Linked DNA regions of Arabidopsis thaliana. The protein of the gene in region 1 interacts with the protein of each later gene in a pairwise test. Each region holds a gene or a part of one and is shown in the gene's direction. Other genes may lie near its edges.

The links.
Region 2: the proteins of AT5G19960 (region 1) and WAVH2 interact in a two-hybrid assay, tested with the Arabidopsis thaliana proteins (one large-scale study listed by BioGRID).

The regions. Positions count from the first base shown.
Region 1 is NC_003076.8:6,742,232-6,746,904, forward strand, and holds AT5G19960 (RNA-binding (RRM/RBD/RNP motifs) family protein), read left to right. Parts: upstream 1-1,646; 5' UTR 1,647-1,797; coding exon 1,798-1,908; intron 1,909-2,149; coding exon 2,150-2,248; intron 2,249-2,285; exon of another isoform or gene 2,286-2,340; coding exon 2,341-2,753; intron 2,754-3,100; coding exon 3,101-3,161; intron 3,162-3,231; coding exon 3,232-3,285; intron 3,286-3,383; coding exon 3,384-3,452; intron 3,453-3,527; coding exon 3,528-3,593; intron 3,594-3,674; coding exon 3,675-3,743; intron 3,744-3,830; coding exon 3,831-3,902; 3' UTR 3,903-4,150; downstream 4,151-4,673. Other genes in the region: AT5G19950 (tudor domain protein (DUF1767)), read right to left, coding at 439-652, 854-1,021, 1,190-1,471.
Region 2 is NC_003076.8:26,259,334-26,264,684, forward strand, and holds WAVH2 (Zinc finger (C3HC4-type RING finger) family protein), read left to right. Parts: upstream 1-1,802; 5' UTR 1,803-2,138; coding exon 2,139-2,540; intron 2,541-2,619; coding exon 2,620-4,371; 3' UTR 4,372-4,837; downstream 4,838-5,351. UniProt on the Arabidopsis thaliana protein: Probable E3 ubiquitin-protein ligase involved in the regulation of root growth. Acts as a positive regulator of root gravitropism.

The DNA.
Region 1 (4,673 bases):
ATCACAATACTTTATGTAAGCCCACACAAAGGAAGAACAATTCAATAGATCATAAATTTTACCACAATGAAAATGCATTCACTCAAGTTTAAGTATTGAAACAATGGAGACCCAACAGCGCCAATGTTGGACACAAAGCCAAGGGAAAACATAGATCAGACCTCTACATGAGTCGTCATAGGTTACATAAACGGATATATTGGGATTTTGGAGCTCGGGTCAAATTACTAATATGTTTATGCTAAAGTGCATTTGGATGGAATAAGTCCTTGCTGCAGTCAATGCATATTTATGTACACTATCAACATGAAATAGAAAATGGTAGATATTTTATTTGGTAGCAAAGATTGGCCAACCGTTTCAAAGTGAACTAAATATGCAACAAATTACTAGAAGAAAACTGAATGAAAATGATGAGAATAAGAAAATCCTGCTTACCGCGGTGATGGGAACCTGTTCGAATCTTCAACTCCTCAAATGGAGGAGGGCCATCACCAGCTTTGCTTTCCTGAGATCGAGCCAAACTAGCGTATTTTTTCTTCATCTGCCATTCTTCAGTGAGTGATTGCACATAACCGCCCAAGACAGTCACCTCTTTTGGAGTCAAACATACTAGACCATCACGTATCACAGCCTTATTTTCTAGACGTACCTGCCAACGAGACAGTACAAAATATCAACAATACAAAATGATTTATGATTTGCATATGACACCCTCTGATGCATGACAAACACATATGTGCACTAGCTTTCTATTGATTTAGATCTTAATCCAAACTATTATATTTGCATGAGACTTTCAGAAACATAGTAAAGGAGAATTTGAATTAGATTGATATGGAAATGGAACTACCTTAGTACCAGGAGTGACATCATTGTTAATCGTTGGTATATGAGAGTACTCAAGCGCGGATATTTCGGTCTTCCCGTCAGTCAGAGCGAATTTTAGCACTCGTTTACCAGTGGAACTTCCCACAAATTCCTCTGCGCTACTTCTTGTAACATCCCTAACATAACTTATCTATGCTCACAAAAGAAAACAAATTAACACTCAACAGCTTGAATCAACTGCAACAATTGAGCATTCTGAAACTAGTTTAAATCTAAGTATATCAGTGAGAGTGACTCATTGAATTAGCGAAGACCTAATGCCAATTGTTACTGACTTTAGCTGATTGAAGCAATGTACCTGGAGAACTTTGGGGCCTTGAAGATGAGAACACCTGCGTAACTCGGTCGGGTCCGGGAGGGATTTACCTCCGATTAACTTAATATCCATGTTAAGCAGCTCCGCCTCCACTGACTCCACGATGGCGCCTGTTTTATTGCCGCCGCCGATCAAGGAAGAGATTTCAGTGACCAGGGATTTCAAGTATTCGACGTCTCTGAAGCACCAGCCCCGACTAGTTAGGGCATTTATCACGACGGTGTGGGTGTGGTCGCCGGCGGAGGAGCTTGATGTTCCCACCATTGCGTTGATGCTCTTGTCGCGCTAAACCAATTGGGGAAGACGAGATTTTAATTTGGAGAATTGATTTTGTTATGGTCAATATCGAGTTAAACTAATTACTATTCACTAATGATACTTTTTGCATAAAATCGTTTTGATCAATAAAGAAGAACATTTTTAACAGAAAAACTAGAAAAGTAATTCGAAAAAGTCCTATAAAAAAGGTATTTTCCGGTTTCGTTTTAGTGGGCCTAATGGCCCATATGTAACACGAAGATTTCTGACAGTACGACTTCTAAAGTACTTTGCTTTCCTTGTTGAATTCCGACCAAAGTCGATAAAGAGTTATGACGATGGACGATGGTAACTCCGTCTACGTCGGCGGCCTCCCTTACGACATCACCGAGGAGGCTGTCCGTCGCGTCTTCTCCATTTACGGCTCCGTCCTCACCGTTAAGGTTAATTTTCTCTTTTCAATATCCTGATTTAAGTTTCTTAATTAGGATGATTCAAATTCGTTTCGTGATTTTGAAGTTCCAATCTTATTGTATGATCTTATAGATGATAAGCTTTAGTAGATATCTATGTAGAAAGACTGACCAAGTGATTTAGATAACATCCAATTGCTAGTTGATATATCTTACATGTGAGCTGGTCAGAGTGTATATTGACATATATGTGTACTATTTGAGAATTCAGATTGTCAATGACCGGAGTGTAAGAGGGAAATGCTATGGCTTTGTTACATTTTCGAACCGTCGATCGGCTGATGATGCTATCGAAGATATGGATGGAAAAGTATGGTTCTACTGCTAAAGTTTTGTTCTTTTGTTTATATTATCATGTACGTGGTGTGTTTATATTGTTGACGGTATTGAGCTCGTAATCAGAGTATTGGTGGGCGTGCAGTGCGTGTGAATGATGTGACAACAAGAGGTGGAAGAATGAATCCAGGTCCGGGGCGGTTACAACCACACGGTGGTTGGGATAGAAGTCCTGATAGGAGAAGTGATGGTAATTATGAGAGGGATCGGTATAGTGATAGGTCTCGAGAACGGGATAGGTCTCAGGATAGGAGAAAAGATCATCGCTACATAGAGAAGGAAAGAGCTTATGAGCATTCACATGATTTTGAGAGGAGGAATGATCATGATATGGTAGATAGAAATGGTTATAAGGAAAGAGTTTTCGATGGTGATGAAGGAGATTGGCGTGGGGATAGGTCTTATGTGGATAATGGTAGGGGAATAAATGGGACCAGTGCTCACGAAGGAAGGAGCCAAGAAACAAAGAGAGAAGATAGGTAAACTTTTGTTGAAAACAATGCAGTTGTAGACTTCACATTGGATTTCAAACTTTTAGTGTTCCTCCTGTTTCTTTGAATTGTGACATTCGTTGTTCTTGTAAAATTGGTCTGCTAGTTTGAATGAGTCAAAGACTGGGATGCTAGTCTTAGTCACGCCGCTAAACCAAATCATCCACACCTGTTGTGGTTAAGTTTGATAAATTATCATCGATTTTAGTGTAATGGATTTGAGGAAGTTTCTTGCTCTTGTTGGCTTTGTGCATGTTACCGTTTGAGGAATGTTTTGGCTTGCTTTGGTTTTGTTAACATGTCTAAATCTTTGTGTGTTCTTGTTGGATTGACAGTACCATTCTTGATGGTGGACGTGGCAGAGATCACTTCTCTAATTCAAGTGGAGATCATCAGGTAAAGATGATTTTCTTAGCCATGCAGTGTTTGCATAAATTCATTTTATAACTTGCAACTTCTATTACAGGTGAAAGAAGATCTGGAAGCGCTGATTAAGATGCGTGAGGCGCTTCGAGATGAGGTATGAGGTAGTTTATCTGTGCATATAGGCTGTTGGTAGATTTATTTTACATAATCACGAGTGATCCAATGAATTTATGGGCTACTTTCATTTTTAAGGTGATGGTGATGGAAGAGAGACTGGAAGTAAAAGAAGTAGTGTGCTCAGAGCTACAGAAGAAATCTAAGGTATGTGTCTTCTATATCTTACAACCCCAAAATGTTTGACTACAGATTTGTTCTCATTTGAAATGGTTAAGACAGAGATTAGAAGATTTGTTGATCAATGAAAAGAAACTGGTTTCACAACGCCGAAAAGAATTGGCAAAGGTAAGCATAGGTTCGATTCCTGTTCTAAAAGTCGGTTTTGTTAGGTAATGTTTGTTGACATTTGGTCTATGTTTGTGGTAGCTACATAAATCATATTCAAGGGTTAGAGAGTGCACGGACAACCTGAAAGACTGTGAACAAGAACTCCAGGTTAGTTTCTAAATTTTCTTATTCTAGTGATTGTCATTGCATAAAGATTAGGCCTAATCGAAACAAGTGTCTATTCTTTTCTCGCAGTTGCTTGTTAATTCAGCAGCTAGAGAAGGCGTGGCAGGTGCTGATGAAGGATTGGGACACGGGTATCCGTAACACGGTCACCCGCATGTATGATCTGTTTTGTCTAAAGTGTAGCTTTGATATGTCTTCTCTTTGTGACTTTCCGAGTTTTTTTCTAGTCGAGCTACACTAATTTGGTACATATTTACTTGTTTTGGCAAGTATGTATTCATTTCATTCGGGATGTATTATTATCATACGAACATGAACTAAATAATTATGTTTTCAACTTGCAACTGAAACCAAACAATCACCATACAAAGTGTGGAAGTAAAGTCTCAAAGCTTTGTTAGAGAAGAAGTCCTAGATAGTACTTGGCTATAGTTAAAATATTTTAGTAGATGAAGTTGACAAATTAACTATTTCTTTTTGTAATGTTTGCTTTGTTCTTTACTAATATAAAGATACTTGGCTACAGTGAAAATGTTATAAAAAGAGAGAAAAGAATAGACAGTTAAATTATTAAGGTTGACACAACCATCATCTCCACCGTCCATTACTCGTCAGCCGAATGTTTTTTATTTGATTAAGATGTGAACATCATCCATTGACCTATCGTTGCTTGTAAAGCCAAGTTAGCCAACCAACACTCAAATCATCATTATACGTGACGATCTTAAGAACAACCCCATTTAGGATACTCTATATGTTTGTCTTCTCATATAAATTTCATTATAGTAATATTAAGGCATTATCCATTATTCATATATATTCTTCAAGGCATGTTTCGTACATCTTATAGCAAACCAGTAGCAGTAAATAGCATAAGCAAATGTGTTCTTCTTGTCGCATGGCTCTAGTGGA
Region 2 (5,351 bases), about 20 Mb from region 1:
TCATTGGCAAGCTGCAAAACGAGTTCTTAGATATTTGGCTGGAACTACGACTCACGACATTTTCTTTGCTGCTCAAAACGAGCTCTCCCTTCATGCCTTTTCAGATGCAGATTGGGCCGGAGACTCAGAAGATTGCGTTTCAACAAATGCTTACATCGTTTACCTCGGGAAAAATCCAATCTCATGGACTGCCAAGAAACAAAAGAGCGTTGCAAGGTCTTCAACAGAAGCTGAATATCGATCGGTGGCAAATACTGCTTGTGAAATCCAGTGGATATGCAGCCTTCTCACGGAGCTTGGGATCACACTTCCCAAACCGCCTGTGGTCTATTGTGATAATGTGGGTGCTACTTTCCTTTGCGCAAACCCGGTTTTCCATTCCAGGATGAAGCACATAGCCATAGACTATCACTTTATTCGTGGACAAGTTCAGCAAGGCATTCTTCGTGTGGCTCACGTCAACACTAGAGACCAACTCGCTGATGCATTAACAAAACCGCTTCCTCGAAATCACTTCACGGAACTTCGAGACAAGATTGGAGTGTGCATAGCCCCTCCATCTTGAGGGGGCGTGTTAAGGATACATAGGATCATCTCTCTTTAATATCATAATATTCCTCTGTCTCCTTTATGGAACATTCTATATTTGTACAACCCTAGTGTAACCTCCTCTGTACTTGTATATATACTTGTGTAAAGCTATTCGTATAATATAAGTCATTACATTCTTAACAAGATTAACTAACTAATATTTTCATTTTTTGGTTGATAATCAATGATTCCATGGCATGCACGCACGAAGTCATGTGTTGTCTCTACAATGGCAGCCACTTAAAAAACCTACCAAACCATTTACAAATGCTTAACTACAATTTTGTTTAGCAGCCCCCTTATCATATATGTACCCACCCATTTATTGTTTCATTCATTCATGTGGCTCTTCAGCATAACTGCAAGATACTAGAGGCCACAAATTGCAGTAATTTGTATTTTGGAGTTAATACCTTTGATTTAGGACACTAATTATCTCGAGCACTTGATCAGCCAATCTAAAAGGTTGTCAAATCAAAATAATAGAAGTGTCGAAATCAAAATCAGACCAAAACCATCAATTTTTTTGCAATAGCAAGAAGAATTCAAAATTTGCTGGACCTGGACCAGTCTAATCTTTATGTCATATCATTAGCTCTTGTCGTCACCATATATTATAAATCATTTTGTTGGTAAATAAATGAAAAAAAAAAACTTTTCGACCTTTCTCCATCAAAGACCTTTTACAAAATTCCAAACCCAAAACTTTAGGTTAAATTCCTCGCTCCAGCCAGTATGTAATTACGTAAGCAACTATCAATTAAATATACAACTCAATTCACAATCATGAAGATAACTCGAATACAACGTGTTTTAGTATCATTTATATTTCGTAAGGAAAATAAGCTTACCGTTTATTGCTCAGACTGTAACGTCACGTGCCCACATGTTTGACCTTACACTCCATCACAATCTGCATTTCGAAGAATCCGATAAGATTGGAAATGATTTATATAATCGAACCACATTGTGGAACATTCAAGAGGAATCCACATTAGACAATCTAATAAACTGTTTAATATTTTGAAAAGAAAGATTTTACATGCAAATGGAAAACAAAGATCTCCGCGTCTCAAGTTATTTGAAATCTCATTTTGCATATGGTCGGTTATTACCGTTGACTTTTAACTTTATCGTCCATCCCAATGAAACAACACTTGAAATATGTAAAAAAAATAGCAAAATTGACCCAAAAAAAAGAAGGACTTAACGGATCAGTGATTATTTTCTTCGAGGCAAAACAATTACATGCAAATGGAAACAAAAGCCAATTCACACGCATAAAAGTCACAATTTTTACCTTATAATATTCCTACAACTTAAAATAACATAAAAAAAAATGTCTTTATCGAAACATCACTAAAGAAAAAGAAATCTCTCTATAGTCTTTATCTTAGTATTTAATTTCTCCATCTTCCTTATGATCCATTATGCCCAAAGTCCTTCTTCTTCTTCTCTATAATTACTTCCACAAATAGAAGAAGAAGAAGAAGAAGAATAATATAGAAAAAAAGAGAGCTTCTCTTCTTATTTCTTTCTCACAGGAAATGGTGTTTGGTTGGAGAAAAGCGTTTTGCACTTCCGTTTCAAGTAATCAAGATAAACCTCAACAACATTCATCATTACACACTACTGATCCTCCAATTCCCACACCAAGATTCCGATCAAAGTTTGGTTTTTTATCCAACCCTTCAACTCCTCGTCTCCGATCACGCGGCGGAAGCGGCACTGGATGCCGCTCCTCAGCTTCCACATCAGTCACTATCCCATCTCTTCCAACTAGTCCCAAACTCCATTGCAGGACTACGAGCAATGCTACTCCAAGGACTAGTAACAGCTCAAGTCCCAAGTTTTTCTCTAACCCTTCTTCTCCTAAATCATCATCTTCTTCTTCCTCTCAAGGCGGCGGCGGCGTCTCTCTCCTCCGTGCCACGCTTCTTCTCAACAAGGTAGTTACTTTTGATTCAATCAAGTTCTTAATTTGAAAGACATAATCTAAAGCTCCGTTTTGTGTGTGTGTGGATGCAGAGTAATAGTAGTAGATGTGCGATTTGTTTGCAGAGAGTGAATTCAAATCAAAGCAACTCGACGGCGGCAATTTTCACGGCGGAGTGTTCACATTCGTTTCACCTTTCTTGCGTCAATGGATTAGAAGACAAGCGTTGTCCGTTTTGCTCTGCCGCATGGAATCACGCGCCAAAGTCGAATTATCCGGCTGTTAATAATAACTTCGGATCCGACCCGATTAGACGACCCGAGATCCGAGAGATCAAAACGGGGAAGTCACTGAGAGTGTACAACGACGATGAGCCGTTAGCTTATTCGCCGGTTTCTCTTGCTCAGATCAACACTATACATGAATCAGACGAAAACGACGACGTTGAAGATGACGATGACTTCCCCGGATTCTTCCGAGATTCTTCGATTACGTCTGATATGGTTCCTTCAATCTCAGGAAATCTGGAGGTTAAGTTGCTGCCGGAATCTGCCGTTGTGGAAACCGGGAAAAAGAAGGAGACACACGTCGTCATCATGAAACTAAAAGCGTCTCCGTCGCCGTCGTCCATCACCGATGCGATTAAGGCGCGAAGACCATCGATAGATCTGGTAACGGTTCTCGATTTAAGCAACGGCGGTGCTAATTTGCAAACGGTTAAACACGCGATGAGATCGGTGATCTCTCTTCTCCGAGAAATGGATCGTTTATCGATCGTCGTTTTCTCGACGGGGTCAAAACGGTTAATGCCGTTACGACGAATGACGGCGAAAGGAAGACGATCGGCGCGGCGAATGGTCGACGCACTCGGCGGAATGGAAACCACCGGCGGAGTTGGAATGAGCGTTAACGACGCGTTGAAGAAAGCGGTTAAAGTCGTTGAAGATCGGCGGGAGAAGAATCCGTCAACGAGCATCTTTGTTTTATCGGACGGTCAAGATCAACCGGAGGCAGTTTTGAAAGCTAAACTAAACGCAACGCGCATTCCGTTCGTCGTGTCTACCACGCGTTTCTCTCGTCCGGAGATCCCGGTTCATTCCGTTTACATTGCTTCTCCTGGAGCGTTGCTTCACGCGCCGCTACGAGACGCGTTCACCGAAAGAATCGCTTCGTTGCTCAACGTGACTCTCCATAACGTGAAGCTAAATCTCAGTTTGGTCAACGGATCTCATTTGACTGAGATTTCATCGGTTTACTCTTTAACCGGTCGACTCGAGAATTTCGGATCCGGTTCTGTCATCCAAGTCGGAGATTTGTTTGCGGAGGAGGAGAGAGAGTTTCTCGTTGAGCTCAAAGTGCCGACTTCGTCGAGTGGTTCCCACCAAGTAATGTCCGTACAGTCGTCGATCGTTGACCAAATGACACATCAGCCAATGACATGTCCTAAAGAAAAACGATTTTTGATCCCACGGCCACAATCCGTCAGATATGTATCTTCAAGCATCGAACGGCTGAGAAATTTACACTCCATGTGCCGCGCTGTAGCGGATTCACGCCGGCTTATCGAGCGTGAGGATTTATCCGGAGCGTATCAGGTTCTAACGACGGCTCGGTCCAATGCGTCTCATTCGGATGATAGTTTAAGGAGTTTGGAGGTTGAGCTAAATGAACTTAGCCGGATTAAACCGAGAAATAGTATATTAAACCGAACTGAAGATAAACCGGAGCAGCTTACCCCTACTTCGGCTTGGAGAGCCGCCGAGAAATTAGCTAAAGTGGCTATTATGAGGAAGCATTTAAATCGAGTCAGCGATATGCACGGCTTGGAAAACGCCAGATTTTAATTTTAATTTCCCTTTTTTTCGAAAATTCGATTTCAATGATTTTTGAATATATAATGGTACATAATTTATATAAGGAGGATAAGCAATAATTTAGTAAGGTATAAATAATAGAAGTATGATTATTCAGAAAAAGACCCACATAGGTGCATGATAGCGACAAGCAGTAGCCGACGGGTGTGGCCTTTTGTATTGCAGAGAGATTGAGACCCTACATTAGAAGGAATTAATTGGTCTTTTAGCATTTTTATCTTCTTCTTCCTTTTTGTAATCTTCAAAAACTCCAAATTAATGACTGAATAGTTAAAAAAAGTTGTAGATCAAATAAATGAAGTCTGCTTTTTTTGTGTACTATATAGAATTAAAAGTTGAGGTATAGTGGATTAGAGAGTGTGCTTGTAATGCTGGACTTCAAAATCAAAAGTTAAGTTTATATTATCATATGCCGTTTAACTTAAGAGGATCTATAATATATTATATCTTTCCAAATGAATGATCATGATTAGTCATGTGATCATCATTATAGCCTATTTTGTTATAGAAGGCACCGGGTTTGAATGATTTGAATAGTGCGTGGGGATTGTCTTTGTTGGTTGTTGGTGAATGGTTTGGTGGGTGCACCGTGGTAGAAACCAGGTCATGCGCCGTTGCAAAGCTTTCTTCTCGCTTAAATTCATTCATTTTATATCATTAAGACATTTACTAATTATATGTAGCTAGCGCCAAGTTGCAATTTGTTTTGAATGCAATGATTTTGTATACTTTTAAAATGGATGAAATGATTAACTATTGTCAAAGGTCCACTTCTCGATGTGATTCACTAAAATGATCAGTGGCAGAAGAATCTCGAACTATATATATGGTCAAATCATAACTAAAAAAACTAAGCTATTATTTTTTCACAAAAAAAAAAACTAAGCTATCATTCATCACGCAGTTACATATTGCATATGGACAATGTTAATGTCAACTAATGAAAGGGA